Arabidopsis thaliana: one gene and its partners. The main gene of each other region encodes a partner of the protein of the gene in region 2 in a complex. Each region holds a gene or a part of one and is shown on either strand. Other genes may lie near its edges.

What was found.
Region 1: GCT (region 2) and AT1G23230 share a complex: the UniProt entries of both Arabidopsis thaliana proteins name them as parts of the mediator complex.
Region 3: GCT (region 2) and SWP share a complex: the UniProt entries of both Arabidopsis thaliana proteins name them as parts of the mediator complex.
Region 4: GCT (region 2) and MED8 share a complex: the UniProt entries of both Arabidopsis thaliana proteins name them as parts of the mediator complex.

The regions. Positions count from the first base shown.
Region 1 is NC_003070.9:8,241,953-8,251,165, reverse strand, and holds the start of AT1G23230 (mediator of RNA polymerase II transcription subunit), read right to left. Parts: upstream 6,727-9,213; 5' UTR 6,686-6,726; coding exon 6,578-6,685; intron 6,498-6,577; coding exon 6,454-6,497; intron 6,368-6,453; coding exon 6,268-6,367; intron 6,181-6,267; coding exon 5,242-6,180; intron 5,106-5,241; coding exon 4,863-5,105; intron 4,656-4,862; coding exon 4,386-4,655; intron 4,277-4,385; coding exon 4,075-4,276; intron 3,978-4,074; coding exon 3,706-3,977; intron 3,491-3,705; coding exon 3,407-3,490; intron 3,312-3,406; coding exon 3,217-3,311; intron 3,070-3,216; coding exon 2,907-3,069; intron 2,814-2,906; coding exon 2,397-2,813; intron 2,314-2,396; coding exon 2,200-2,313; intron 2,120-2,199; coding exon 1,994-2,119; intron 1,919-1,993; coding exon 1,770-1,918; intron 1,525-1,769; coding exon 1,284-1,524; intron 1,106-1,283; coding exon 319-1,105; intron 247-318; coding exon 65-246; intron 1-64. Other genes in the region: AT1G23220 (Dynein light chain type 1 family protein), read right to left, coding at 7,030-7,188, 8,322-8,552; GH9B6 (glycosyl hydrolase 9B6), read right to left, coding at 9,037-9,213. UniProt on the Arabidopsis thaliana protein: Component of the Mediator complex, a coactivator involved in the regulated transcription of nearly all RNA polymerase II-dependent genes.
Region 2 is NC_003070.9:20,634,842-20,640,800, reverse strand, and holds the start of GCT (RNA polymerase II transcription mediator), read right to left. Parts: upstream 3,422-5,959; 5' UTR 3,208-3,421; coding exon 3,184-3,207; intron 3,103-3,183; coding exon 3,029-3,102; intron 2,936-3,028; coding exon 2,796-2,935; intron 2,710-2,795; coding exon 2,623-2,709; intron 2,462-2,622; coding exon 2,374-2,461; intron 2,285-2,373; coding exon 2,207-2,284; intron 1,960-2,206; coding exon 1,882-1,959; intron 1,793-1,881; coding exon 1,713-1,792; intron 1,460-1,712; coding exon of another isoform or gene 1,405-1,459; intron 1,309-1,404; coding exon of another isoform or gene 1,274-1,308; coding exon 1,195-1,273; intron 1,086-1,194; coding exon 759-1,085; intron 518-758; coding exon 458-517; intron 214-457; coding exon 1-213. Other genes in the region: AAE18 (acyl-activating enzyme 18), read right to left, coding at 4,142-4,258, 4,352-4,561, 4,655-4,753, 4,846-4,971, 5,048-5,264, 5,342-5,436, 5,521-5,741, 5,820-5,896. UniProt on the Arabidopsis thaliana protein: Component of the Mediator complex, a coactivator involved in the regulated transcription of nearly all RNA polymerase II-dependent genes.
Region 3 is NC_003074.8:1,291,670-1,300,499, reverse strand, and holds the start of SWP (RNA polymerase II transcription mediator), read right to left. Parts: upstream 6,703-8,830; 5' UTR 6,464-6,702; coding exon 6,254-6,463; intron 5,697-6,253; coding exon 4,671-5,696; intron 4,256-4,670; coding exon 4,158-4,255; intron 4,082-4,157; coding exon 3,907-4,081; intron 3,829-3,906; coding exon 3,072-3,828; intron 2,988-3,071; coding exon 1,972-2,987; intron 1,867-1,971; coding exon 839-1,866; intron 747-838; coding exon 1-746. Other genes in the region: RALFL21 (RALF-like 21), read left to right, coding at 7,775-8,092. UniProt on the Arabidopsis thaliana protein: Component of the Mediator complex, a coactivator involved in the regulated transcription of nearly all RNA polymerase II-dependent genes.
Region 4 is NC_003071.7:902,929-910,059, reverse strand, and holds MED8 (mediator subunit 8), read right to left. Parts: upstream 4,548-7,131; 5' UTR 4,236-4,547; intron 4,110-4,235; 5' UTR 4,083-4,109; coding exon 3,904-4,082; intron 3,814-3,903; coding exon 3,689-3,813; intron 3,595-3,688; coding exon 3,470-3,594; intron 3,402-3,469; coding exon 3,218-3,401; intron 3,113-3,217; coding exon 3,029-3,112; intron 2,908-3,028; coding exon 2,852-2,907; intron 2,762-2,851; coding exon 2,492-2,761; intron 2,404-2,491; coding exon 2,347-2,403; intron 2,030-2,346; coding exon 1,823-2,029; intron 1,736-1,822; coding exon 1,685-1,735; intron 1,588-1,684; coding exon 1,524-1,587; intron 1,441-1,523; coding exon 1,268-1,440; 3' UTR 788-1,267; downstream 1-787. Other genes in the region: AGL30 (AGAMOUS-like 30), read right to left, coding at 6,491-6,959, 7,047-7,131. UniProt on the Arabidopsis thaliana protein: Component of the Mediator complex, a coactivator involved in the regulated transcription of nearly all RNA polymerase II-dependent genes.

The DNA of each region.
Region 1 (9,213 bases), about 12 Mb from region 2:
AACTCTCACAAGCATATACTTGAAAAGACTGACCACTTCATATGGATACAAGCCATAAGAGTACCTTGTTAAAGAGAGTATGTGTACTGGCAAGCCTCGGAAGCAGTGGCCCCATGATACGGAATACAACTCTGAGCATTGCCACAGATGTCACAGGCCGGAGGTTCGTGATGATAGCATTCGTGCCATCAAGCCATTCTTGTGGGAGATTGCTGAAGAAAGCATGAAGCAAGGCGACAATATTTCCTGGAAGAAGACACATGTAAAAACAAAATCCAAACAAACATTTCACTTCTAGATCCAGAAACTATAGCGTACCTATGGCGGTCGAGGTGTTATCCTGAGCAGCCCATGTAGGATCCATCAAAGCGTATCCAACAGCTGAGTCTAGTTCACCTTGTGATCTCTTCCCGTCCTTAAGCCACCATGTTTCCCTTGTCACACGTGCTGCCTCCAAGTAAAGCTGTACGTGAAAATCTGGAGGGAGCTGAGCCAACAGAAGTCCACAAGCTTGAATCAACAGACACGACAGTTGCTGACATGTATAACCGCTTCTAGAGACAAAGCTCGCTGTGTTGATACCAGGAATCAGACAAGTGGACCGGCTAGCGCTCATGGAGTCTGTGCTCCCTCCAGAGGGAGACGTTGGCAGTACCGACCCTTGTCCCACCCCGTTGGCAGCGCCGTGGAACCCGTTTCCAGATTGAATCAGAGTCGATTGTATGTTGACAATTATCTGGACAAGCGAAGAGACAATCTGAGCAGCAGAGACAGGAAGCGAGAGGATCTCGATCACGGCTGTCTCAAGAACCAGTTGCGTGTAAGTTCCTGGGTCCTGGATCTGATAGAATGCTTTCTGGCCCTCAGAGGCGTTTGCTGGTCCAGGCTGAGATGTTCCTGGAGTTTTTCCATGAGGAGGTCTTGCTGAGCTGTTTAAGATGTCTGCCATTGAGCCAGACCTCGAGCTGCAGTTGCTGCTGCTGCTAAGTGGAGGTATAACATTGTTTACGAGATTAAGCAGAAGAGAGGCAAAGTAATCTAGAGGTGGGCATACAGGTGCACCGGTAGGGCTAATGTACTGCGGGAATGATTCAGAGAATGGAATCTGCGGAAATGTCAAAAGATTTGTTACGTTCCATTTTAATCGAATGTGGAAACGATTACGGACAAAGGTATCTAGATAAATTGGTGAGAAACAAAATCTCTAAACTAAAATCCAAAAGCGGCATCAACTTGAGGTCAATTTCAGAATCAATGTAAGATCGGGAATTGTTTTCAATTACCTTGCTGAGATCAAGTACTTTGAGCATGCGCAGAACAAGTTTCCCAGGAAGATGGCCATAGAAATAGGCTAGTATATCACGGACAAACGTGAATCTGAGAGGATGATACGCTAGAAAATGCGAGTGTGCAAGCAAAAGATTATCAGCTTGCTCCATCGCATTGTTCTCGATGAGCCTGTAAAGCACTAGAGGGATAACTGGAAGCAAACGCGCTGCAATATCATCAAAGAACGTTGGATACCTGCGTTTAACACAATAAAAAAATAGGTAAAACATTTACCCAACTTTAGCAGAATCCAACACCAAAATTAAAACAGATCAAACCAAAATTCAACTATTTCCTAGTCATACACAAGTTTTCATGGAAGGTTCCATCACACATTTATGGTTGGATGCCAACAAAACCAATCAAACAATCAAAGCCATGTACTTAAGTGAAATTGTTGTTAGAAATCAGTTACACTGATGTTGAATTGGATATATTACCTGTCCTTCCAAGAAAGATGGTTACCCAGGGCCTTCTGGAGTTCATTGCGTTTGAACACCTGTGTGACAAGCCAGTGCTCAGGAGACCCACGGTTTTGGCAGTAGTTTTTTATCCTCAGCAGAAGGTCTGGCGTTTTAAGTAGGCTCATCTGTAAATAAATTGAAAACAACACTGTAAAATTTCTATGATGTTAAGCTTCTTTTACGTAAAAGCATGAACATACTGCAATTATCAAGGCGTGAGGATCATCATCACGGTCAATGAGCGCCAAAAGAAAAATGTCGAGAGGAAGCATTTCATGTGTCCAGAAGAAAAATGCAAGATTTGCGCCTGCCTTGTCTAGAACTGCCTAAAAAATATTACGATGCAATGTAAGAAGATGGATCAAGCAACGAAAAGTGAGGTTAATCTCTTCTGGCAGACAGAAACCTCTAGAGATTGTCCTTGCTGAAGGTCTACATGAACGTGGTGAAGCAAAACATCGACCAAAGTGTATATGTTAGCAGTGACTTCTTCAGGAGAAACTTCTCTCAGAACTCGTGCCTGATAATCATTTGGAAGAGAAAATCATACCACTATCAACAAACAATCATTTCACAATTATGAATAGACTAAGCAAAGCAAACCAGATTTGTGCTGTTGATGTTTTCAGCGTGGCCTTGCATCAGCAGACAAGCACCAGCACATAGATACTGACGGTGTTGAGGAAAACTGTGACTGAGGTATGTTGAAACGTAAGCGGGTTCAGCAGATGGTGAGAGAAGTTGAGTGCACTGGTTTATCACAGTTGTTTCAGCCTGTTGCCATGCCTGAATTGATAGGCCCCTCTTGTCTACCCGTCCTTTCAAAGTTTCACGGAGAAGGGATGGGAAATGCCGCATCGTCTTCTCTGACCATGTATGCTGACTCGTCGCGAGTATTTGTTCCAACATGGTTTGCAGATAAACCATGTGATCAGGGTCTGCGATACCACGTGTTTTGATAGTGATAGCAAGAGTCATGATGGTTATGCGATTTAACGTCTCAGTGAATTCAGTTGGCCCCTAGTGATGATAACATAAGAACAATTATTTACACCTGAGATCCAGGCACAAAATAAGAAGGGGGACAGTGAGTAATTCGAAAACACCACTTACTTTTCCCTCCCGTTTCACAGAGAAAAAGTCTCTGAGTGATAAAATGAGATTCATGCATAAGTTTTCAGCTAGTCTGAATATACGGTGGTCACCACGTTTTCCTTTCAATGCAGATATTATTTTAGTAACATCATACATTAAAGTTTTACTCTTTCCTTGGTATCTGCAATAAGATCAGTAATTTTGTTTAGTCGGGTCTAACAGCCAATATGGCGAAAGCCCGAAACAATTGTCATCTAACTAAAAGAATGACCCAGTTAAAACATAAAGAAGGATCTACTCCAACTTGAGAACTTTTCGCTCGTTTTACCTGTAGAGTGGCAGCAACCGATAGTTCAGAATCTCAAGAACAAGTAACGTCACTCCAGGCTTGCTTAGCAGAGAAGCATTTCGCTGGGCCAATTGCTACAGAAAGTTAGCTAATCTTATGAATCGCTTATGATCAATAAAACATAAGATAATGAAAGTCAAAAGGTAACAGAAGGAACCAAATAGCTTACACTGAAATGTGAACGGAACATCGAATGAGGGGAAATCAGAAGCAATCTTGTGTATGTCTCAACCATTGCAATGCTAGGAACAACCTGCACTCAGATGTTTTACTACGACACTAAATTCATTTTTCTCAGGTTTTTTAAAATCTACTATTAACATTTTTAAACAAGTAAAACGCTAAAGTTGTTTTACTAAACCGTGGAGAAAATAGGTCACTAAGTAAAAATGACCAAAGAAGATGTTCTTCATAGATCAGTGTATCAATTAACATATATAATATCTTTGTGAGACAAAGGAAACAAACCTGGCTAACAAACAAAGCTTCTTCCATCTGAAGGGCCAATTTCAAGCACAAATTCATTGAAAAGCCAGATAGCAATGACATAGGTAACGGGGTAACTTCCTGCGTCATCATTACTCGGTCGTTTGGCTGTAATCCCGGTAACTCAGCCATGCCAGCTGAAGATAGCCAATTTATAACTGTTTCACATGCTGGTTGTGCCATGGTGTAGGAAACAACCCAAAACATGCCAATCGACCTATCATCCATATTCATATAATCCATCATCCGCTCTCCTGACAACCCCAAACAAGAAACAGAATGAGAGGATGCTTTTTATAATCGGGATTCTCTGCTTCCTAGTCTAAGCCCTGCCATTGAAACCTTATGTACCTTTGCTTCTCCACCACTCATCGATCTGTTTTCCCTTCAACAGCTGTTCATTGTTTAGGTATGCCCTAGTTGTTGTGCTTAGTGACCAAATCCGTAGATTCTGACAACTGCTTACGAAGTCAAGCAACACACTCTGAGGATTGTTGGGATCAGAATTTCTGTCTTCCCTGTGAAATGATAAGATCTTCCTAGTAGTCTCCACCTGAGAGAAAACCCAAATAGAGCACAAATTGGGATGTTAAATTCGCCGAAAAAGAAGTACAAGTAATTGCATTGCAGCTGCAAACATATCATTGTAATTGAGTAACGACCTTTTTAGCATCTGAGTTCAAAGCAGTCATCACAAGCTCCACGCGTATTATTTGTGCAAGCAGCCAAGTCACATGATTCGTCCGAAGAATATGGTTATCAACACCGTTAAGGCGTAAAACCAACTTGTCAATGAAATCAACAAAATCAGTACACCCACTTTTGATTAGAAAGAAGAATATATCCGAGAAAACCAGCCACTCTTGCCAGCAATTTGCATCTGCATAGAGAGGGGGAAAAGTAACAGATACCAAATCAATACCAAAGCAATCCTAGTATAATGGTATCTCAACTCTTACTTTTATCTTTTCTATCTAAGCCTAACGAATCAACGATTATAGAACTAGAATAAAACGTAAAGGATGTAGGTTCTTTACAGATTGTGACGACTAGCAAAACCACTTGCTATTTCAAAATAATTTCCACAGATTTAAATGGAAGTGACAGATCAAAGACATGAGAAATAGGGAAAGACAAACATTGCCTGAGTTGGTCAGCTTAAGAAGCTCAACAATTCTGTCAATGATTGCCTCACAAATCATGTCAGAAGTGAATACAGCACCAGGGATAGGCCCTGCTTGTGTAGATGGTCTATAACAAGGGGCCACAACAAGAACACGCTTCCACCAGTCCGGTGACGGTGTAGTGCGAATAGCATGTCTAATGCAACGCACTGCTCTCTCCCAATCCAGGCTTCCTTTTGGAATAGACATCGCCAGATCCTGCCGGTGTCGAAAAAGAAGAAGAGAGGATTGAAATTCACAAATTGTCTGCCTAATGAAAAGCGTATACATTACACAATATCAACAAGAGCCAACTAAGCTATGAAACCAATCTCCACAATTTCATAGGAATCACCTCTCCATATAAAGGTTCCCCAAGCACACTTGGATATGTAATTGGTGAATGTCGTAAGTGTGGCACAGCTTCGGGTGGAACATTGGCAGTTATTTGGGAGACTATACGATGGGTACCAAATGATGGACAGTGAAGATGTTGGTCCAACATGAGCATATGCATGGCCATCGCATCTCGCCTCCGGTGTATCTCCATGATAAGAGTGAACAAGGCTTCATCATCAGGTATGTTCTCTATAAACTGTAGACCACTGCGCAATAACTCATAAAACGGAATTCGAGATTCACCCTCTTCTACCAACAGCCAGATCACATCCAAACAACTCCGCAACCATTCAGCTAAAGTCTTCTCAGATCTCCACGACTTTCCTACAGAGTCCTCAGTTCCCAGATCTCTCCTGTCCCAGTTAACAAGCCAATTCATCATGTACTGGAAAATCTCGGCATGAGTAACGGGTTTGAGACTAGATTCAACGCCAATCAAGATAATCTTGCAACTGAGCTGACGCAGACTGTTTACAGCAGCAGCTCTAATCCGTTGACTATTTCTCATAGCATTCTCTCTTACAATCTGGCCAGCTCTTGCAATCTGCTGCCCATTCTCCACAGATTTCACCTCTGAAGCTGATGGAGAACCAATACCATGAGCTGAAGGCAGCAATGACGTTGGATTCACAGACACAGGAACTACAGACTGCGAAGAAGTAGCAGAAGAACCAGCCGTTGCCGCTGCTGCTTGAACACCTTGGCTTAACGACGCCTCAGCAGCGGAAACGGAAGAGAGAAGGGATGGTAAAAAAGTATCCCAATTGATATAACTAATCCTACACAATGTACGCAAAGCAAAGAGTAGAAACTCAGCACGAGGCGCATGATTGCTACATTGCACCACCAGAGATATCAAAACTGACTCAGTAATCGTCCTCAATTGCTCTGGATCCTAACAAAGAGTTGGAAAAAAAAAAAAAACTTTATCTTACGAAATCACAAAGAGAAAGATAAAGATAGTTAAAAAACGAGACTTTACATTGAATTGGCTCTGAAGCAGCTCAAAATCCAAAAGGAATTGCTCGTTTCTTGGTGGTAAGTCTCTATTAGGAGCATGAACACGCTTCTGTGATTTGTTCCTGATCAAAACAATCAACATGGATAAAATCAAACACAGAAGGAAGAGAAAACAAGAGTTGATTCAGAATCAATAGAAACAACATACGGGGGATCTCGGAGGGACTCATCAGGCTTTTGACGGCTTCCTCTCTGTGATAGAGAAAGCAAAATCAGCAGAGAAACAAAATTCGATGAAAAAAATTGGGAGATTGGAGAAGAGATTAACCAACCCCTAAGTAGAGATTGAAAAGATCGATAATTGCAGCACGAGCTGGGTGGAATTGGTACGATCGAGAAGACGATGGCGTTGCAGCGACTGTTCGCTGCGATTGATCCATTTTTTTTTCTTCTTCACTGATTCTTTTTTTCTTTGATGCTTATAAAACGGAGGAGCAAAATTGGTATTAGAGGTTTTGGGTTTAAAGCTCTTTTGAAGAGAAGAAAATGTCAACAACAACAACAACACAACAACGAAAAAAACAAAATTAGAATTTGAGAAAGAGAAGAACAATATTTTGCATTGTGAAGTTGAAACGATTCACAGTAGAGAAGATGACTTCTAATTACACAATAGGAGCCACAAAGATTTTGTCTTAGGCAGAATTACATTGTGGGATACAAGACAGAGAATTCTAAAAGAAAAGGATTAAATTGAAGATGCTCTGATCATCAACGTTTTATCTCATTTTTGATCTAACGGCTCCACGGCAGTCTTGAAGAGAAGAACGTAAACTTTGTCGATCTGAAAATATAGGAATCCTCCTGTGGAATGAGTCACGTATGAACCAAAGCTTGTTCCAACAATGCAGTGCCATGCCGGGCCGTAGGCTGAATCGAAGTCCTGAAATGGAAGACAGATGGAAAACTGTTTCGTGAATATATAGTTTTAAATCAGCTGCAACATGTCATTAGACAGATGGGAGTCTAAGATTCACTTCAGTGGATAACATAGAAGCTGGATTTAGGAGAAAACATAGAGACAAGAAACATATGAAGATCTATTTCGAGATAAGAGATCTATATTACCAGAACAAGAAGATAAAACAAGACAACAGCAGAAATTGACTCGTATGTCAATCCTAAAAGCCAAAGGGAGGTAGCCATTATTAAGAGATTGATGAACACTGAGACAAACAAGTAAGCTGCACACAGATAAGTGAACACTAAATTGTTTTACTCAACCACTTCATAAAATCAATGTATGGATCAATCAATGCCTCTACCTAGTCGCATAAATTGAGGGAACTGCTCCATTTCGCTCCATAAGTTAAAATCAAAAGCTAATTATCAAAGCCGCTTTAAGAAGGAACAATATCCTCACGAGAAACAACTGCATAAATGGACAACTCTATATATGGGGTGTCGAACCAAGTCCTTTGTAAAAGGTTGTATTCAGGCAAGGCTCACTTCCTAAAGCAAGCATGCTTCAGAGTTATCATTAGGTAGCAACTAATTTCTAACAGCAAAGATACAGAAGCTTAGCAGATGGTGCATGCTATGCCTCATTAGTTATGGCCTAAGACAGCTCCAAAATCATCTCAATAAACAACAAGAACATCCAGTTTCAAGACATTTCACAACGAGACTCCTACTACAGTTATCCTCGCAATACAAAAACAACCTAGTCAAGTAGACTAACCGAAGCTACAAATAGAAAAGACAACAACAATGGAACAAAGTCAAATGCAACCTAACAAATATGGGACCATCCATGAAGTTCAACAATATGCAAGTACACAAACGAAAATCCAAATTCAAGATTCATCACATCTTCAAACCAATCAAGAAAGAGAAGACCATAACCACATTCTACAAAAAGCATGCGACTTTGAGACGTAGCCCTAGAACCCAAAAGCAGCTCAATACTTTTAGATTCTGTGTCAAAATTCAAAACTCAATCCAAGTACTAGACTTCAATGACTCCAATTCAACCCAAATACAGAAAAATCATGAGAGAGATACAAAAGATCTAACCTTTTTTAGGGCATGAGCGAGTCTTTTGTTATCAGCCTTCCCTGGAGTAGCATTCAAAATCTCACGCGACAAACTAAAGGCTCTGTTCTGTTGAGGCAAAGGCATATCTGAAGCCCTAACACGAACATTGAACTCATCTTTCTGATCTTGCTGTTCTTTAGCCTTCTTCTTCTGTATCAAACTGTTCAAGAACTTGCTTCTTCTTTCTAATTCTAGCTCAACTCCTTCCATCTCTATCACATCACTCGTCTAAGCCCCTCGTTTTCACTTTTTCCTCCGTCTAATCGGAGAGAAAAACCAAGCTTAGTGTCTGTCTCCTTGTTAGTTCTTAAGCTGATTCAGAAACGAGCACCATCTGTTTGACAAAATGTCTGAGAGTGAGAAGAGGTAATTGCGTGGAGGAGACAAAATAGCGTTCTTTTGTGTTAAGCGTAAAGCAGCCGACCAAAGTCCAAAAGACAAATTCCTGATTTTTGATTAGTTTGGTCATCAAAATATTAATTACTCTTGTCTCCCCCTTTCTCTCATTATTACTCTTTGTTTTTCCTAACTCCCATATGATTAAAAATTGATTATTGTGTACTCGATTAATTTATACAATTATTTGTTCGTAGATTTAGAGAATCTAGTGAATCTACTAATCGGTAACAATCAACTAAAAATGTTTCACAACAAAAATAGACTTTCATGCTTCGTTCGAGTTCGAGGTGTGAAATCAATAATGGGCCGAGAAATAACCAAGTAGGCCCAAAAGAGGTGCGTTGATATAAGTAGTGGGCTCAGTCAGCTGAAAGTAAGGTCTCGAATCAGGAAAATCGTCGGTGATATTAGGCCCACCAACGACGGCGCCAATTAGCAAATTAGGATTAGGATTATTGCTGAAGAAATAACG
Region 2 (5,959 bases):
CAAGTAAGACCAGATTGCCTACACGTCAAAGAATCTGCATCAGCGTCAAGATCACCAGTTCTTGACGTCATCCTCCAGCCGCTCCCGCTGGAAGCGCTACTTGTTGAACTAATGCTGCTATTACGGCTACTACCACTGCTATTGTAACCATTTTTTTCATAAAACCCATCACTCTTATTTTCAGACGCACCAAGGCAGTCAAAATCACCAGCCCTGCATAAAATAAAGTTCACATATACAGGGATCATGGACAGACTGTTATAATGAAAAACAAAATCGTTACGTATAACATTGGAACAAAACTCGGAAATGCCACAGCTCTCACTCCTATGGTGCTTCAAATAATGAAGATTACAAAACATTCGGTTTCTCAGAACAGTTTGGGCATTTCAAGACCTCTGTTTTGTGGATTTCTTTTGATCTTCAAATGTCGACGAGATAGATGAAAAAGACTCACCAGTGCATAAACAAAGATGAGCCTGCTAGTGACGGGCCTATCCAGTTTTGAAGCCAAAATCTGCAAGTATGATTTCACCTTGCATCAGCTCCAAGCTGAGGAAAGATCACAACTATTACATCTATTTAACATGGGTCTGAAACAATTACTAAAACTTCCACTACGATCACACAGAGTCAATTTGTTTTAATACATACATGGAATTCAACAGAAACGAAATAAATTTTATGTATAGCCAATCTGGATCTTACCGTTAAGTACTCAATGAATTCTAAATAACCACCTCACCTAGTCAATTTACCTTTTCAAAGAAAATTTCGCAAATGCCGACTGTAAGATTGGTACAAGCACTGCCTCAGCTGGATAGATGAACTTTTTTTCACAAACTGATGAAAGATCTGATTGTCCTTTACGGTGATCTTTACTCCCAACTGAAGGTTCAGGACACTGGTTATGGGGCAAGTTAACTGCAAAGGTCGAATTAGCTTGACTTGTGTTGTCATTTCTATTTTGGCAGCAACCAAGTGTAACTTCCACGTAGCAATGATTGCCATTTATCAGACGGGACCCACGACCAATATGAGAAGGGAGACCAACATATCCAGTCGAAGTTTTTAAGTTTCCAGAACTGTGTGAGAAAAAAGTATTAGTTGAGAAAATTGGATTAATCAGATTAACGGCTACGCACTCACAAAAAATGTTGACTTGGCATTCGAAAGCAAAGGTATGAAATGTACCTGAAGTAGACTTGCTTGACAAGGTCATTGGGACAGAATCCAGTAAGGCTGCCCCGCATTCCATGAGGAGAAACAATAACTGGTGGGAATAACATAGGCCTGTGAGAAGTGTTTCTATCAAATAAAAAGCTCTTATCTTTCTTTAAGCATGTGTAGAAGGCGGATTTCATTTCAGGTATCAATTCAAAAAGTTTGGCTTCATAGAATTACATGTAGCATAATCTATTATCCTCACTCTTGGCCAATCCCAAACATTTACGAAAAGCTCTTGTGACATGCAAAAAAATGAGGTGTTAAATCTTTGCTTGATGAAGCTAGGTAGCAGTAGCACTAGACTACACTAGGTTTCTTTTTGGAGTGGATGCATTGAAAATTGAGTTCAAAATGCTCTCAATCTATACAGTATTCTAACAGTACAAAGCAAGAAGAGGTCAACAAACATCTAGAACTAGTTCCATCAAAATCGTAGACAAGTAGGATAATTTATCAATCCAAATGATGATGGAAAAATAACTAACCTGGAAGCCTATAACTGGAGTTTTTCAAAGAACTCCTTAACATTCTTTCAGCATCGCCACTTGAAAGTGTGCGGACATTCCTTCGTGCATAAAATATTATAGTTAGTTTCAATAACTATGTGAAGCACTAAACCATAACTGAAACAGTATAACAAAAAGCTTTACGGACTTGGCAGATATAATGACATGGACAAAAACTGCCTCTTCGGTAGCAGCAAAGATGAATTCAACAGTAGGCTGTCCCCTCCTACATAAATATCCACAGAGCATTAGCGAGCCACAGAGCATTAGCGAGCCACAGACCTAATCATAGAATTCTTTGGATTCTAAGAATTACACTCAGGAAACCTAGGTCTCACAGACCCTATTTAATGAAAGCTATAGGATAATACATAATCGAAAAGCCATAGAGAAAAAAGACGATATATTTGCTAATAAACCATCAGAGATTATAACGCATGGTCTCGCTTATATTGGTAAGAGGTTGCAGATACCTCAAATATTCTTCGCTTTGAGGGCTGAATTTTGAAAACACATCTCCAAATCTCATGTAGGAAATTCCAGATAATGCTCTGTGGCGATATCAAACAAGTTAATATGATACTCTAATCCATTATTTCCTTAATCCAACCATTATGTCTGCAGATAATAAAAAACTAACCTTTCGATGCAATTACGTAAAGACTGTGAAAAGGCAACTGATATCTCTTCAGAGTCCCCAGGTGCTACCCAAATTCCTGACGCAACAACTTTCAACAGGAGAAAAAGAAAAGTAAGGACAAGTATACCAAGATAACCATAGACCACAGGCATGTTCACTAAACAGTCATAATCAGAATAGAGACAATATGTTTGAATCTATTGAGGCGACAAAATACGATGAAGAAAATAAATCATAAGGAGAATATACCTCTAAGCTTTGACACAGCAGCCTGAGCTTTATCAGATATTGATGAATGACGCCCAGGTAGAAAAAGCCAAAGCTTAATCTTTTCATCTGAGCAGCAGCGAGGAATGATGGTTAGATACAACTGTAAATAAAGTTACAAAATTTAAAAGTACCAGATTGAGATTTAGCATTACCAGGGTTGTATAAACCTTGAGATGGATCCCAAGGTCCAACAAAAGAATTGGTCCAAGTGGTAAGAAACCCTTCCTTCTGCAACCGTAGATGAGAGGAAAGTACAAGATATGTTGCAACTTCATTCTGCTCAGCTCTTGAACTGAAAAAAAAACTCCAGAGTGACCAGACTAATTAGTACAATGTCAATAAGGAAAAACTAAAACAACCCATTGAAAAAGCTTAAAGCTTTAACCTTCTATCAAAGCCAGGATTCAGCTCAGTTTCACTTGGAAGAAACTGAAACCAAGAAACATTATGTAGACCACCCTGTAGAAGAAAAATCATCATGTATTACCAATAAGTCAATTTTCACACACAATGGGAAAAAGATGATAGAATAAGACTTACAATTCTGAAAACATTAGTCCACATCACTTGGGGATAGATACAACAAGTTCAATCCTTTTTTTTCTTCAAATTATAGGCTATAACCCCAAAATCATCGTCTTGAAGCGCTCGGAATTGGAAGACGTTGTCAATTTCTAGCTCGATCTTCTCTTGATGTTGCGAGGTTTATATCTCTCTTTTGATCAAAACTCTTCAATACATCATAATCATCTCAACACGAAATCTCTCGTGGTTTTCATAAAACCAGATCCAAACGCGCTCTTTAGGGTTCTTTTTTTTTTGTTGCTCTTACTAATTCTTTTTTTTTCTGTGGCCCAATTTGTTTTAGTCAGGCCCAATTCATTATTTTCACAACACTCTGGTTCAAAAAAAAAAACCGCCAACCACAAGCATCATAAAAGAGTTTCCTCCAAATAAGGTGTTTAATATCAAGTGTTTTTGAAGTTTTGGTATTAAGATCTCATTCTTTCGAGTTTGTTTGACTTGCATCAATCAAATGAACCAAACAATGCTATGGTTTTACTTTATATTTTCTAGATTTTGTATACCACGATATAGCTAGACCTCGAATGATCTTAACGCTATCTTTGTATCGTTGGGTGCGGCTAGTTGTCTTCTGGTTCCATAGGTCATTCGTGGTGATACTATTCAGATGTCTCAAAGCCTTATGGGATGTATGAGTATCGTCCGAAATATTTTTACAAATTTAAACAAAAGATAATCTTGAGGAAAATTAAGATTATAATCTGATATGAAATATATACACCAAACACAAACACAAACATAACAAAGTCAAAGTGTTTAGTCATGTAAATGTGAATCAGGCTAGAGAATTCAAGGACCGGTAGATTTGATTTAATCGGTTTTCTTATTTGGACCGAGCAGTACCCAATCATGTGTAGATCAACTACTACTCAGCAGATCTTATTTTATTCTAGTTAAACTTAAGATCAAGGCTTTATATTCGACTTCGTAAGGATAGTAGTTCTTGCTTAATCTGATCTCTCAAGACTCTTCTCAGTAGCTTGCTAGAAGCTGTTCTTGGAAACTCCGGCACAATCTTCACAAAACTCACCTGCAATATTTTTGCAAAATCCATTTTTAAGCACACAAAAAATCTTATAATAACTTTGAATTTATAGAAAAACTCATCAAAGATATTGATTACCTTGAAGAGAGGATTAAGATCTTTTTGAATGGTTCTTGAAAATTTCATCTTTAGCTCTTCTCCACTCTGTTGCTTGAACCCTTCTTTCAAGACTGCGAATATGACCAGCAACTCTGGACCACCGTTAGGTGGTGTTAAGGTGACTGCAGCTGTCTCAGAGATGCACTCATCAGCTTGATCACACACACGTTCGATCTCAATAGAACTCGTCTGCGTTATAACAGATAAACAAAAGATGAAAACTTGAGAAAAGTTCCAACTCTAATCGAAGTTGGGTATATAGACATACAATGTATGTAGTACCTTAATGCCTCCAAGGTTCATGGTATCATCAGCTCTACCTTGAACATTGTAATATCCTCCAACAGTTCGCTTCACAATGTCACCGTGTCTTCTAAGTCGCTGCAGAACGCAACAGAACAGAGGAATCGTTTAACTGACGTAAGTTTGCAATTTTGTTTAGATGTAAATATAGAAGTTCTAAAACTACTCACTGTTTCCTTATACATGGGCATTCCCTTGAAGTAAACCTCGTCGTGATTTGCATTCAGAAGTCTATCCGTGGCCCCAAGGTGCTGGGGGAACAAACCGACTTCTCCAGTACATGGTTGATCATCCGGCTGCAAAAACCAGTCTACATCAATCTCTGGATATTCTAAGAAAATACTCCAAATGTCTAAAGTTTCAGTTTGTCACATATGGGACGCCATTTTCATCGAAGATGATGATTCTAGTTGTCATGGATGGTGTGCTAAACGCTCCAAAAGCCTGCGGTTGAAGAGGGCTTCCTATGATGTATGACGAAGCAAGTTCCGTGCCTCCACAGCATTCGATCACAGGTTTGTAATCAGCTTTAGAAGAAAGCCAGAGAACATCGTCAACATTGGAAGCTTCTCCTGTAGTGGCGAAAAACCTAACAAAACACAACAGCTTCTAAGTTAAAATTTCTCGTATAAACCCGAAAACAAAACAAGGTTTGTTGCTCCTTACTTAATCTTTGTCCAATTAAGCCCTTCCATACAGTTTGTTCTCTTCCAAGTTTTCACCAAGCTTGGAACAGTACCAAGAACTGTAACTCCAGCATCCTGAAGTAATATCAAGCACAAATAAGTGAGGATTTATCGAACCTTACTAAAATTGAAAAGGAGACAACAATGGAGATGTCTTGCCTGAACAAACTTTCCAAAACCGCGGCCAAGGGGAGACCCGCTGTAGAGAGCGAGAGTTGCACCAGTTAGAAAGCAGGAGAACATAAGAGTTGGTCCCATTACCCATCCAAGATTTGTAGGCCAACAATATGTGTGACCCACTTGGACATCAAGATGAGCCCATCCATCACAAGCACTACGAATTGGTGATAGTTGTGTCCACGGTATAGCTTTCGGCTCACCTGGTTAAGAAAAAAGAACTAATCATTAGATGCATCTAAACAAAATCTATTACAATTTGATGATCACATTATTTTTACCTGTAGTTCCAGATGAGAAGAGAATGTTAATCACAGACTCTACAGGTAGATAAATCGGACGATAGTAGTTCTCTCCACTGCAAGCAAAATTGGAGCATGTCTTATCTACACTCTCTGAGTGATTGCAAGTGTAGAGATGT
Region 3 (8,830 bases), on a different chromosome or scaffold from region 2:
GACCTTGAAGACATAGATGCAATGTTCTCTGGACACTATCTGCAACCAACTTGAGTTTTCCCTGAGTCAAATCTCCTGCAGCAGAACCGTTGACTTCCACTGTACGGCTCACTCTCTGTTTACATTTCTCCCAATCGTCCACTCGCTGCCAACAAGCTCGACCTCCATGACTTCCTTCCATTCCAAGAAACGTCACGCTAGGATTTTCGCCAAATGTGTATCTTAACCTAACTGATACACAGTAAGGCAACCATGCTGCTCCTCCAGCCGCGTTTATATGGGGTATGTGCACAGGATCAAGAACAACGGTTAGCGCAAAGTCAACCGTGTTGTGCGGCCGGTCGTAATGGATATTGCTTTTAGCTGCACAATTGTTGTCTAAATCTGTACCAGAATGGTTCTCTAGACATAGCTCGATTCGAGGTCTCTGTGCAGGAGCAATCTCTCCAGCTTGTTGTGATTGGGATAATCCTTTTTTCCAAGCTATCAGTTTCAGAAACTCTCTCAAGACCGATATGGGTAACGTGAGGAGTGTTATGAAAGAGGCAACTCTTGAGGCATCATACGGTTCTGATGCGACACGGCGGCTGAAATAATCGCAGATTTCTCCAATCTCGGATTGGGTTAACTCCTCTTGAGCCGCAGCAGAAGAACCATTTTGTTGTGCTTGGTGATGGAATCGCCTTACGCTAAGGACTTGAAGAAGGAGCTGAACTCTATGGACACTCACCGCAAACACATAGCCACTGCAAAAACAAAAACAACAAAAAAACAAAACAATAGATAAGCTTAAGCATAATCCTTCAAGATTGAGCATAAGTTTCTTGGTTTGGCTTACCCGACAAAGAAGCGTAAGGCTGGTTGTTCTTGGTCTAAATTCAAGAGAGCGCCTTCGTTATCCTTCAAGATGGAACCCAAGATCTCTCTTAAGAGATCTGGTAACTGAGCAAATAGCCACAGTACTCCAAGATATTTAAGGATACCACGCAAAACCTTTTTAAGAGCCACAAGAGGAACCCATCCTCCGCCATAGCCACCGTCATCACCTAAACCGATTATCGCTGTGTTTAATTCACCTCTTACATGCGCTGGTACAGCAGTGCCTGGTGTTCTACGCACAGGCAATCCTGAGCTAACCACTAAAGATCCTGAAGCAACACTGGCTACTCGATTCATTGCAGCTCTTGCACTAGAAGGGGAAAAGTTAACTCTGTTCACACCGTTAACAGTTGGGTTTCCACTGTTGGGATTTGTTGCTCCTTGGCTACCTGTCAAATTTGGTTCTAAACCGTTCAATTCTTGAGCAACATGCTCCATGATGAAAGGTCTGAATTGGGGACATGGCAAGGAGCCTCCAATAGAAGCACCACCCTTGGGTGGAGTTGCTGGCTGCAACCAGACTTGATCTCCAGCAAAACATCTCATGTCTACTGCAAAACGTTTACGGTATATGATCCTTATCCAATAGGGTCCACGGAGTACTACAGAGACATCGATGGGCAAGAGAGAGCTTGGAACGATGCCAGGTCCGCTTCTCCCTGCAGCTGCTAGCATTGCAACTCCATGGAAACCTCCACCAAGTGGGCTTGGAGCAGAAGAAGCAACAGTATTTCCTGAAGTTGCTGAGGCAGACTGGCCAGTAGCATTAGGAGCTGCTAAAGTTGAAGGGGCAATGATTCCTTGAGTTTGTTGTATCTGATTTGATTGTCTTGAAGACGCTGTAGCAGGTACAACAGGCATGCCAGTGGCAGTACTAGCTCGGGCAGGGCGAGTAGCGGCAGCTAATGCATGCAAAGGCCCAGCAGTAAGGCGAATGCAATCCAAAAGGGATTCTACCTCTGCTCCGTTTATGAAATCCTCCAAGAACTGTACAAGAGTAACTCACGATGAGAAAAAGCATATATTTGGAACTCTTATAATAAAAATATTTCCCATGAAGAGAGCAAATGTTAAGTCCTGCGAACTACTCACCTTTGTATGTGGCCATAGTTGGTCAGGAGAGACATGCATGGTGCATCCATCTTTACCTGATTCCCACTCGACAACAAAACGCGCCAAAACGCCTGAACCAAAGCTAAACCACAGGCTTGTTAATCCCACAGCCTCAATCTTGAAAGCTCTCCACCTATCTACTGGCTCACCACTGCCTTTTCCTCCAGTAGATCCTTTCATAGTGGAATTAGCACTGCACTCTTCTGTTTTTTCATCTGGCTTTATGCCAAGTAGTTTCCGCATACCAAGGGAGAACATTCTAGCATTTGAAAGCCTTTGTATGTCGGCCACAAGCTTCTTTATACTATCGGCTTCCACAGACTGATAGCTCAGAACAACACCTTCAGGGTCATAACGGATATGAGAATCAACATCAGATGAATTCGCAATGTGAACTCCAGAACCCCATGGTGTGGTTTTACTTCCCTTTTGAAGTTCCCAGAGATCCCTAAAGTGTTGGTCATTTATTTTCACATCCCAACACATGCTTCCAGGTCTACCAAGCTGCAAGCATATATGTTGCCAGGAATCATTTTGAGCAAATGGAAGCCTGAACCATATATCTGAAAATGCATCTCTTAGTCCCATTTCCTCAACATATTGAATATCCAATGCCTCCATCTGACTAGTTAGTTTGGCATGCTTTATGGACAACGAAGAATGCCTGACCACATGGAGAAGAGCATAAACAAAAACGCTTGAAGGTGCATTCCCCTTGTTTGCTTCAGCTATGAGATTCCCATAGCTGCATCCTATAGTTTTTGTTGATGTTGACACGGCAGTGGATAAGGTCTGTGATGCAGGGCTCCAACTCTTCACTAATTCACTCTGTACCAGTTCAGAGGTTTTTCTTCTCTTATTGGGACTAGCAACACCTTCCACTACCTGGAGGGATGGGATCAATCTTAGCAAATCTGAAGCTGAACGTTTCCGGGGCTTCTGATCTTTCCTTAACAAAGGACCAGCAGATGATGTTGCAAGATCAGCTGTTTGAGCTGCAAATAACGGAAATTTTTGAATTCTAATATTGAGAAAGTTCTATGAAGGTAAAAAAAAAGGCTATGGAAAAATGTTCTTACATAGGGGAAGAGGTGACAATGAGGATTCAGTGACCAGTCTAGAGCCTGACTCAGAGACTCCATTCCCAGTAGAGAGGGATGGAGACAGTATCAGGGATAACTCCTGGTCAGAGTTAGAGATGGCTATCTTCTTCATAGCTGAACCCTTCCCAGGGGGAGATGATAACATATTATAAGAGCTAGATTGTAAGGGACCCTGTCGATTATACAAGGAATCTGAATGATAGCTAGTCAACATTGGAGCTTTTCCATGGCCGGTAACAGCAGAGAGATTTTTGGGAACTAAACCATGTCCATCAATTGACATAAGAGCAGATGTCACTTTCTGAAGTCCAAACACTCCATCTACGACACTAGAGAAACTCAACTGGCTTCCACTCATTTCTGTCAAAGCCTCGTCAACCAATCCAGGCTGACGGTGTCCAGATGCTTGATTTATGCCCTCAGCATCCGAGAATGAAGATACAAATTTAACCACATCGGATGTAATCAAGTTAAGATCATCTTCGAGAATCCGTATCTGCCCTATATCAATTTTCTTAGCTCGCAAAATATTGCTTGGATCATTGAAAGACTGAGGTTTTCCCGAACCATCCATCTGAGTTTCCAGTAATTTAAACAATGGTGTGAAGTCCTTTTCGAGCTCCATTAGCAAAAGGTGAGAGCTTTCACAGTCAGGGAATCCCAAAGTCAGAATGCTTGACCCATCCAAGAGGCTTTTAGGAACTTTGTTTATACCAAAACCATGTTCATAGACCTGCATTAAACGCAAACGTCAACACTCCCAACTCCAGAGAGTGAATTTGAACAACAAGCTGAGGCAAACAATTACTACCTCAAGACCCAAAAATTTGCCAATAGCAGCAAAAAAATGCAAAATACTTTTGCTTCTCAAGTTGATAAAGGCATCAACTGCAGATATACTTCCTTGGTTTAACGCATCTTCAAATTCCTCCAAGATGGAGGAGGTCAAGATACTCTTGGATGACTGTAGAAGAAACCGACCAGTCCTGCAATCAATAACATATAGTGAGAATAGTCAGCTAAAATAAGATCTCTCCCAATACATAGATGAAGATATCATACCTTATATTTATCCCCAGTGTGAAAAATGAAGATCCATAGGCTCGCACTCGTAAGACCTCTGGCTCTACTCGCTCTTTAGAGTCTACCATGTTATCTCCCTAAAAGAATGGCGAAAGAGAAAATGATCCAATTAAATTCAATTAGTTGTTGAGACAGCAAGAGAAATATGGCCTAACTATACTAGCTCCCCAGCCAAAAGAAGCTAGGCAATAGGCCATGTGAACTGCAAAAATTAAACTACTTTTTCGAAAAAATATAAATTATCGAAACCTAGGTTCGGCCATCTCTGAAATTTAAATTTGCGATTATTAATGCTTAATCTCATGGTCTATAGCATGAAAGCTATGCATTATTTAGCAAGGGCTATGTGTCATAAACAGAAATCTATCTATTGACATGCAAGTGACATACTAAATGTCCAACTAGTGTAAGTAGCTCTGACCTGGGAAAAAGTCCTACAACTTTCAAGGAACAAAATATTCAACATTAAGCCGAAAACAACTCTTTCTTTACCTCAATACCAGGCTCATCCAGGAGGGCTTGAAGGATCACATCACTTGGAGTTCGACAAATACGAGTATTCCTCAAAAGCTCTTTCTGAATTTCAAGAAGACGGGTATATCTATTACAGCATATAGCTTTAAGCAGAAGCTTCTCCACGTCAATGCAGCTCTGGTCGAGAGAAAACTCAGCTTCCTTGCCAGTAAGTGGGTCAATTACAAATGTGCTGTGAGAACATTTAATCTGGAGATCTGACCCTGGTTCAATTTTAATAAATGGGCCAGAATTTTTATCAGAATCTGACCAGTAAAAAAGTTTCATTCCTGGCGTTCGAAGACTAACAGAATCTGCCTCTCCTTCTTGGTTCGCTGGTGTGGTACCAGTATCTGAAATTAAGTCGAAGCGAATTGCATCTTTCCATCTCCCCTGCAGAAGAGCTCGGACCTGTCTTATGACTGTGTCCATGACAATGGCAACGCACAGCTCATGGAGCACCGCATATAAAATTGTGAATGGATTTTCTGCCACGGACATTCGACGCTCTAAATCATCTCCAAGGATATGCCGTCTTGTCACTTCAAGTTTAATGGGGCCACTTCTTTCACCAACAAGTAGATCCAAATGCAATATCCGCCACATGGATAGGTGCCCTCGGTAACCAAGAGTAACAAGAACTTTAAATTCCCCATCGACAGATAAGGTAACTGTACCTTTAGAAATTTTCACCTCTGTTATTTCTTTTGGAAGTGTGATTTCAAGCAGTTTGGAACGTACAAGTACCTCCAGCTTTCTTAGAGCTGGTTTCTGTTGATGCTCATCCAAAGAGCTCTGCATGCCCACATCATCTAGACACTTTGGCAGGCGCTGATAAGAACCTGTCAGCAAAATCTCAACAGCAGAGGGAACGTCATAGACAGGAGCGCGAGCTTGCTGTAGACCTTCATGCATAAAAAACAGCGAATCCGCAGCTTGTGTGAAGCATATGTCATGAGCTGATAATGTACTCCCAAGGTCTTGAAAGTAGTTTATAAGAGGAACCTGCAGCCCAGGAGGTTTAGCCAAAAATGAATAAATAGCTCAATAAATTTTCGAATACTTACTCTGTAAAGAAAGTGAACACAAGCAAGCATCAACAATCTATGAAATCATAATTTTTTAAAATGGAACGTTGATCTGAAGTAAACTACCTTGAATTTTTACAGAGACACTACAGTCATAAATTTCTTAAAATATGCAGAAATAACAGAAGTACATGATAACATTGATAAGCCTACTTGGAATGTGAAGTTCCATGGAATTTAAGAGACAAATCTAAACTTTAGTAGACAAGCAACGTAATCCAAACAACAAAAACCCATCAAGGACAAGATCACACAAAAGGATCTTCCAATTCCATTCAAAGTCTGTAAATCATCCTACAAACATCAAAACTATATCCACGGGAAATGTGTTTAAAACTAATAGATCATGCAATCAACAAAACCAAACCCTAATCTTGCAACATATCCAATTCCAGTCCAAGAAAGCTTCAAACTTTCACTTCGACCCACAGACCCAAAACGTTAATACTTAGCGAGAAACAGAGAAAGACAAACCTGTTTACACCACTTGGCGAGGGCATTGAGGCGGAGCATCCGTTGCTGAGTCTTAGCGACATACTTAAGGAGGCTAACCTTCTTCTCAGTATCAGAAAGCTCCGTCGACTTAGACTTATCCACAAGTTCCTTAAAAGAAAGGAACGATTCCTCTGCGGCTCGACCAACAAGAGCAGAGAAATCCACCGTCTGTTGCCCTAATTCCGCCATCGCGGAGAAAGAAACAAAATCGCCACCACCCGATTCAGAAACTTAGGAGATCTCACGATTCGTAAAAAATTAGGGTTCTTATCCTCCGCTTCCCCCACCACGACGACAAAAGCACAAAGCTTCCCTTTTCCAGCAACCGGATTTGATTCGGACAAGAGAGACAGAGAAAAAGGGTTTAAAATTGAAAGGGGTCAGGGAAGAGTCGAACGCAAAACGTTGAACGGAAGATGAAAAAAAAAAAAAAAAAAACGATTTTTGGAGAAATCGGCTGAAGAAGCCTTTTTTTTTAACAGACGGCAAAATCTAATTTTTGTGTGGGGTCTCTCTTTTATCCACGTAAGCAAGTAAGTCACTATTAAATTATTAATTAGACATTTTAACCATCATTAAAAAGGTTAATTACAAAATTATCATTAATGTACACTACACTCTTAAGTAGAAGATGTGTGATGTATTAATGTATATATGGTGAATAGTGTGTATAACAATTGGACGGTGAAAACGTTGTTCCGAGTTCCGACAATAAACGGTGAATAGTAATACTGTAATAGTGTATAACAATTTTTCATAAGGAACCACAAGAAACACTTATTTGAGATTTTGGTACGAGGTTTATTTTTCTATGAAGCAATAGTAATACTGTAATAGTGTAACGCATGTAGGAGTAGCAAGGCCTTCTCACTTGTCCAACTAATTTATGTTGGGCGGCAAATAAAGAACCAGCATGAATTTTTATATATACTTTGAACCCAATACCAAAAAGCCCAGCGATGTGTTCATTCTAATAGTTGTCTACAACCAATTTTGACACACTATTTTGGTGTATTTATAATTATTATTAGTTTATGATATTTGCATATTATTGATGTAAAAAAATTTCTGTAAGAAAAAAGTGCTTTGTTTTCACCTCCATGTACTGGAAGAACATGAAACCTAATATATTGATATACTATATTAGAGTACATAGAACTCTTTGACCAAAAAAAAAAGAGTACATAGAACTCAAATATTGTTGACTACTTTGGCTATAAAACTGTTTTGTATTAGTATTACTATGACCACAACATGCATATCTAAAAGCTAGTTTGACTACTTTGGCTAAAAAAGGACTATATCTATAATACATGTATTACTAAAGAATTCTGTAGGTACATTTTCTACCGGTCAATTCAACATCCTATTGTAATTTCCTTTTAAGTAAAAGTTGTATAAGACTCTTTCACAATTATTTATTCACTATAAATACCACGAACTGTACCATTCTTACCAACAAATATATATTTCTCCCACACACATAAATAAACACAAATCATGAGCAATATGAAAATAACAAATAGGTTTATGCTAGTGGCAACATTCATAGCATGTGTGTTCATAAGCAGCATGAACATGACGGTTGGAAAAGTAATTGGGTATCCAGGGTTGAAGCCTGATCTTCCTTGTGATCATCATCGGTATCCTTCTGCATGTGCACCCTCCGAACAACCAGTGAATCCTTACAGACGGGGATGTAGTAAAATACATAGATGTAGACGCGATTCACCCCCTGCACCAATTTCTAGAAAAATGTTAATACGAGGTCAATTAATTTATAATAATGCATATAATGCATATATCCAATATCCATGAATAATAAATTTATGGGTTTGGTTGTGTTTAAGCCATGTTGTTCTCTACATCTACACATTTACCTTAATATTTTTCAGCATGTATTATTGTATTACGATATATACAGTGGTGAAATCTTGTTTTATCATTCAGTTTTGTTCGATTTAAGCTCCTTCTTATTAATGGTAAAATAAAACAAATCAGATCACATATATTCATAGCATTTAAGGACCTAGTGTGTCACACGTGTGAACCTGTAATGTTTGTTATACACAACAAGACAATGATTTTTGACTGGGCCCAGCCCACACGAGGGTCCTAACATCTCTCAACAGGGTTGGTGTTTTTGGGCCCAGGTGGACCCTTTTATCTCATTCTCCTCCTCCTCCTCACGTTTATATGAAATTTTTCACCTATATAAATTTAATCAATTTTATTTATATAAAATTCTTGACATGTAGATTATAAGATTAAGATGAAGTCGTTGTCAATTTGGACCTTCAATTTTTTATGTCAGATTCTTCCATCGTAATCATGCATGGGGGCATGAACATGATGATGTTTAGCAATAAATGATGTTGATGATCATTATGCTGTTATAATTTTATTATATATAATTTGCATGGAGCCATTTATTTATCAACGCTATTATTATTATGCTCCTTTGTGAAAAAATACTACATTACCATATTTTAGGGTCGACGAAATGGGCATGACATGTACCGCCGCCCATACCACATATGGTTGACCATTTACTGT
Region 4 (7,131 bases), on a different chromosome or scaffold from region 2:
GAAAACATGCTTTTACCGATCTATACTATAATCATCGATCGGCTCATATTGTTTTGTTTCAATAATAGAAAATAAATACTATGAACCATGAGTCGATAAGTAAACATGGTTCTTAAAAAAATGTAAGAATCTCTATATCTACCTTTTAGAGCGTCCTGATAACGTGTTATAAACAGAGAAAGAGATAGAAGAAAATGAGTGTGTTATTCCATTGAGGTAAAGGGTTCTTTATATAGGATTACAAGGAAAGGGTAAAACCTTAGAAACATCTAGATGATGAGTTTAGATGATGGGCGTTATAATGAGCATCCATCTTTATTCATAACAAGTTGAGGTTTGTTTTGGGTTTTTTCCCTATAATAAAGCATTTATTTCATATAATATATAGTAAAATATTTATTTTATATAAAATTAATTTAAAGAAAATTATGCATTGAATATTTATATTAAAGAAAATAATATATCAAATCAAAGCCTTTGAGATGATGAGTTCAATTATATCTTTAAAACTTTTGAATACAAATATATGTTATAGTGAAAACGTTTATAACATATGCAAAATCGCACAAATAAATTATATTGTGTATTATTTTAAATTTTATAAATTTATTTTGCATTTTTTGAATGTGCACAATAAATTGTAAAAATAAGCGATTTTGAGTGATTTTTTCGCAAATTCCTAAAAACCAAAGTAAACTAGTTTTTCATATTTGTAACAAAAGCAAACAAAAAATTTAAAAGAAATGGTAACTAAATTTCAAAATTTGATTGAGGTAACTAAACGAGTCGTTGAGCTAAATAAGTACATAAAAAATGAGTATATAAAATTAAGTTGACAAGAAACAAAACAAATTGTCAGAAAATTTAATAGCTTTCGAGTCGCAGTTTTAAAGCTCTCTGTTTAAAGTTCAGAAAACAGGTAAACTTCATAGACACGTCGCTCTCTCGAGTCCCGTGTACAACAGAAACGCGTCTTCGTTTTGTCTCTATAACCCCATCAACGGCGTCGAGATGTTCACGTCGATGCCACGTGTCGAATTCTCAATAAACATGTCAGAACGAAAACAATCCTCCACCGTCCAATCTCTGCTTCACGTTTTTAACCTCATACAATGATACAAGTAAACAAAGTGTACTAGTGTAGTGTGAAAGTACCATACAACTAGAGAAATCTGGTGAGTGTATTAATGTTAAAGAATGGGCCAGGCCTTTGGTACTACAAAATACAGGCATCGGCCCATTACAAGCCCAAATTATTTAAAAGGGGTTATTGAGGATTTTGGTGCCTTTGTTGAGCATTCTGCATCATGTTATTAGGCTGTAGACTCTGCTGATTCGTCTGCATATTTCCATAGCCTCCTTGTTGTTGCTGCTGCTGCTGCTGTTGCGATTGCTGAATTTGTGTTTGCTGTGTTTGCATCATTCCGCTGGTGTTAAACACTGTAAAGATAGGACAAATGAAATAGTCAGGGAATCGATTTTGATGTAAGAAAACATGTTTTAGAAGAGATTTGTTTACTTACTCTGGTCACCCAACATTTGAGACGAATGGCTTCTTTGGGGATTGGTACCCGAAACTCCAAATTGCTGACAACCATAAAAATCCAAAGAGATCATCAGATTAAGACAATGTTCATCGTTCAGATTTGGGAAACATAATGAGTAGAGGAGTTTTTGAGCTAACCTGCATCCTAGGAACAAGTGTCTGAGATTGCATAGATGACATGTTTGGTATCTAGAATTAAAAGAAAAAGTACGTAGAAAATATGATTAGTAATTGTTTCGAATCATCAATTCAAGAGGTTAAAGAGAGGTGACTGACCATTTGGCTACTTGGGGAGCCTTGTGCAGAAGTAAACAATGCACTATTGGCTCCACCTGAAAACTGGTTTAAGTGACGGTTCATCGCTGGATTGAGCTGTCCTTGAGACATGCTATGCTGAATATGTCCACCTGAGAGCTGTCTAGCTTGGAATTGTTGGTGCGCGCCCATTGGCTGGGAATATGGCATTTGATGTTGCCCATGTGACTGAAAAATAAGATAAAACTCACACTTAAAAGACAAAAGCTTGTTTCATAATTTCATTTGATTCTACTGTTTGAAACTACGAACTGTCACAGTTACTTTTATATAAAAGCTTCTGCCAAGTCCCAAGATCTAGGATAACTTTTCAAGAGTATGAATCATTCACTTGGTATATGTAAACTTGTATAAATACGTCTAGTCATCTTCATTTATGGCCATAACTACTGCATAATGATACAAATAATTGACCAAGGTAGTGTCTGATCCTTTTCACTTCACACATCTATCCCCTAACTATGTTGTAGTTCTATTTATCTTACCGTCTGAAACTTTTGCTGAGCTTGCCCATGCATATCATGAAGTGCTGGTATCTGACTCTACACAAAGAATTAGCATGTTGCTCAATAAAGCAGTATGGTAGGAAAAAACAGTCAATTGCTACGTCTGCAAAATGTCAAAGCCTACTTGACCCAATCCCTGCATAGAAGATTGCCTGAGCTGTTGTTGTTGTTGTGCAAGTAGTTGCTGCTGCTGATGTTGAGGCAACTGCATTAATTTTGACCTTTGCTGCTGCTGTTGAAACTGTTGTTGCTGGATTTGATGCTGAGGCGAAGGCACATTAACCATACCCGTAGCGCGAGGAGAATTGGAATATGGTAAGGGAGATGTTGTGTTATCAAAATTAGGACCAGATGGAGATGCAGCTGATCTTCCCACAAATTGAGTCCCGGAAACCTAAAAACACACAAAGACATGAACCTCGAAAGACAATGATACTAACAAAAGTAATAATCATCACAACTAGAGAGAATAAACTAGTTTAACCTGCATCATTCCTTGATTGTTAATGTTGTTTGATTGCCCAGGTAATGCAATCTTACCTAATGAAAGAGAATTTTTGGAGCCATTAACAACGTGAGAATACCATTGGTAGTAGTAACAAAATAAAGAAGATTCAAGCATTGGGTTTACTTCTACCAGACAGATCAATGAAATCGTTACCTGCATCATTGATAATTAGCACATCTGCCAGATGTGGTGGAAGTGCAGTGGTTATCTGTCTCTGGTCTGGAGGCAGTTGTGTTCCTAGAAACAACCATTGTAAAAGAACATGAGAAGGAATTCAGCAAAACAGAAAACTGCAGTTTCGTACACTATCAAATGACTCAATAAATTCTAAAACCCTCTTACCTTTACCGTCATTTACAGCATCTCGTAGCATTTTCTCCTGCTCCTGAATCTTTGCAGCTTGACCTTTATCCATAGTAGGAAGCATAGACGGGCCTTGACGAGTGCCAAATCCGTAAGCTTTACGAGTATCAGCTAATACTCTTTCTGCATTTTCACAAGCTGCTGCAATCATATCCATCCTCGCCTGTAATAACAGATACCATTTCAAAAACCAGCAAACAAATCACAACAAAAATACATTACAAAACTAACCTTAAGCCTTTCGATTTGCATTGGTATAGGCAAACTCTGAACACCTTGAAGCAACTGCTCTCTCTTGGCATTGTCATCAGTTTCCATCTCCGGTAGTAATTTCGAAGACAACATAACCGGTAAAACTGCAGATTCACTGATAAATGCTAAGCTAAACCAGTTCATCACATTCACAATTCATTTAACTCATCAACTAAAACAACTAAAAAAAGACCATACTTGCAGCGTTCATAGCATTGACGTTCTTAGGAAGCACAACAAACGCATTTGAAACTCTCTTTACTTCTTCCACAATGTTAAAAAGCTCGAGATTTACCATCGAATACTGCCCTAGAATATCCTGCCTGTTCAAAACAAAAAGAAAATCAATCCTTGTTACAAAAAATTCATAAACATCAAAATATTATCAAATTCTGGATTCGATGATGATGAACCATTTAGGAGTAGTGTTGGTTCGACCATAAGCGTCGAAATCTTCAAGGATTCGAGCAATGGCTTTGGCCAAGCTAACGGCTCGTGTCTTCAACGACTCCAGATTCAGTTCCTTCTCCAGTTTTGGATTCAGCTTCTCAGCTACCGGAGGAGGAGGTGGTTGCTGCGGCTGTGTCTCCATTGATAACACAGAGCTAATACACAAACCCTAATTCCAAATTTAACGTAATTAGGGGTTTTTAACATCACAGCGAATTGAACAAATTAATTAGGTTTCCGATTTGAAATTGACACAAAAGTTTCGATTAGAAACACACACAAAAGAGAAACTTACGAATTAGAAAACGAGGAATGCGCAAAATCTCGAAGAAGGCTTTGATTTGGAGAAGTTAGTTATTGGAGAAGACGAGAGAGTGTGTTTGAGAAATAGAACCGGGAAATATAATAACATACCGAATCCATAACATATATATGTGTTTCCTCTTTGAAAACTTACAAGGTTGCAACAAATAGACAGAGCGGATAAATCCGTTTGCAGACTAGACCAATATGTCGCTAAGACGGACAAATCTGTTTGCGGAGTAGACCATTATATTTCTAAGACGGACAATAATCCGTTACGGACCAAGTTTTGTTTTTTTGCTTTCAAATAAACTATTTGTTGGTCCGTAATAGAGTTTTGCGTGATTTGTAGATATAACACTTTTTTACTAAATAATTAACCAACTAACACCATAAATTTGTAAATGTAGTAAATAACCTTCAAGGAGAGTAAAAAGACATCACTGTCCTGGTGTTACGCTTCGTCAGCGAAGAAGGAGAATGATTAGTGTGAGCTGACGTGACTTTATTATTGGTGTTGAGGTGAGAAGAGAAATAGGTGGTAGGAGAGAAATTCTCTTTTCTCTTTCTTTTTTCTTTACTCCTTTTCAATTGTAACTCATATTATCTGATCTTAAAAAATTTAATTCAAGTTCATGATATATCTATTAAAAAGTTGTATAGTTTTCTACAAATATCATGACTTAAATTTTTGAAAATAGACACAAAATAATTTAGATGTGAATAGTGTTGTCAATGAATAACATAACGTTCTATATAAATTGACAATATTTTTTGATGGAAGTATACTAAACCCTAAAGGGATAATATATAGGGAACCCAAGGGTTTAAATCTAAAACATTAATGAAATCACTTAACATCTTTAATCAAAACAAACAATTCATTTTAAAACGTATATAGAACAAGGTATACGTAAATAGTATACTATTTACAAAATAGAATAGTATCTCTCAAAATGCAACAACGGAACTCAATTTCATCACCAATACACCAAGCGCAACAACGGAACCCTATTTCATCATCAAGTGCAACAACGAAAGTCAATTCCCTGAACCTAACTTGTGTTCCTCGCTCTGTAATTCGAAACCCCCAAATCAAATATCACCCTAAAGTAATTAAGAGACTCTAATTTGAAATAAAAAACAAGTAACGAGGTAGGTGTAGGAACTTTATTGGGAGGAGAAAGAGAGAGGGGGAGAAAAAAAGAAAGAGAGAGAAAGAGAGAGAGAGAAAAAGATAGAGGGGAGAGAGAAGGGAAGAGAGAGGTAGACGGAAAGAGATAGAGGGGGTAAACTTGGAATTAATATATAAAATATAGAGGATATCATTGCTTTTTTTTTTATGCTAGTTTCTTAATTATATTTTTTTTTGGTTAGTTTTCCAATTCCCCTAGAGTTTTTATATTTTTTCCTATTTACTAAACTGCGGACCAAAATTATGAATAGTGAATAAAAAACGGTCTTTGTACGCAAGTTAGTCCGTCCCATTGTAAACCCACTCAAGGAAATGGTTCTTACAAAGTAAAACTATTTAAGAAGATATTAGTAACTTGTGTGAAAGATACTGTTGGCTTTGTTGATGGTTCTTGGTGATTCAAAATCCTAGAAGAATCATCCAATGTAGTCTCTCTAACCCATAAACATAAGCTTCCTTAGTTCATCCTACATAACTTGTAAACTTTTGTATAAATCACTTAATAAACAAGAGTACTTTGAAGACAAAAACAAAAACAAAAATGTAGTAAACATTGTTTTGTTTGTTTGTTTTACATTGAAAGAATGAAAAAGAATAGATACAGAGGCTAGAGTTTGTGGGAAGGGAAGGAAGAGAGAGTTTCTCATCTTTTGGCTGTCATGGCGTTACTTTGACAGCCCTCCAAAGACACTACTAACTTTTATCGCCGGAGAAATATGGAAAACCTCAAAAAATCTCATCTGACTGAGAAATTATGTATAGAAAAGAATTAAGTGACATCTATTGAAGATATAGAAAAAATAAATGAACACGTATTGTGTGTGGTTTGGTTGCACAATCTACCAGGGATTACCACTGGTTTTTTTCTTCTTGGAACCAATTCAGAAATCGGCAGAGTTTTAGCTTTCTTGCTGTTTCTGAAAAAAAATATTGGTTTGAGTTTCTTCAGTGAGATGTTTTATCATCATTCATCAAATCTCTCTCAGTTCGGCTGCTGCATCTATAAGAAAGAAGAACAAATTGTCAAATCAGTCTACAAAACAAAAACCCATTTAGAATCTCTGAGAAAGTTTTGTTTTGGTTACCTGGGAAAACAAGTATTCGTCGAACATTGAGATTGAGCAAGGCAAGGAGCTGCTGCTAGAACCAAACCTGGTTTGGTTGGTGTTGTCGTTGTAAGCAGAAGAATCAGGTGGTGGTGCTTCAAAGAATCCATTCATATGATACTCTCTCTGATTCATTGGAATATACACCTGAGCATGCGGAAGAGTAAGAGGAAGAGGAGGAGGAGGCAACGTTTGGTGATGATTCATATCATTGTGAAGATTGGGATTGTATGCTGTGATATTATTATTATTAGTGAACTGCTGCTGCGAGCTTGTGTCCTGTTTCAGCTGTCCGGTGTTTAGTTCATCAAGAAAGCTTGTTTCTTGACCCGGAATTGTCATTTCAGGAGATTTCCCTGTTCCAAAGTAGCCTGGATAGCTCCCGAATGAAGAACTCGCTGAGCACTCGACTTCCCTTTTGAGGATAGACAAAGATTTGGTTTTAAGATATGATTCAATATTAAAAGAAAGAAAAGTTCTCTCGGTGAGAGTTTTCACTAACCTCTGCGGGATTGAATTGTGTTCCTCGGTGACAATGTTGGTGGTGTTGCTATTAAGAATCCATGACATAGATTGAAGCTGTTGTT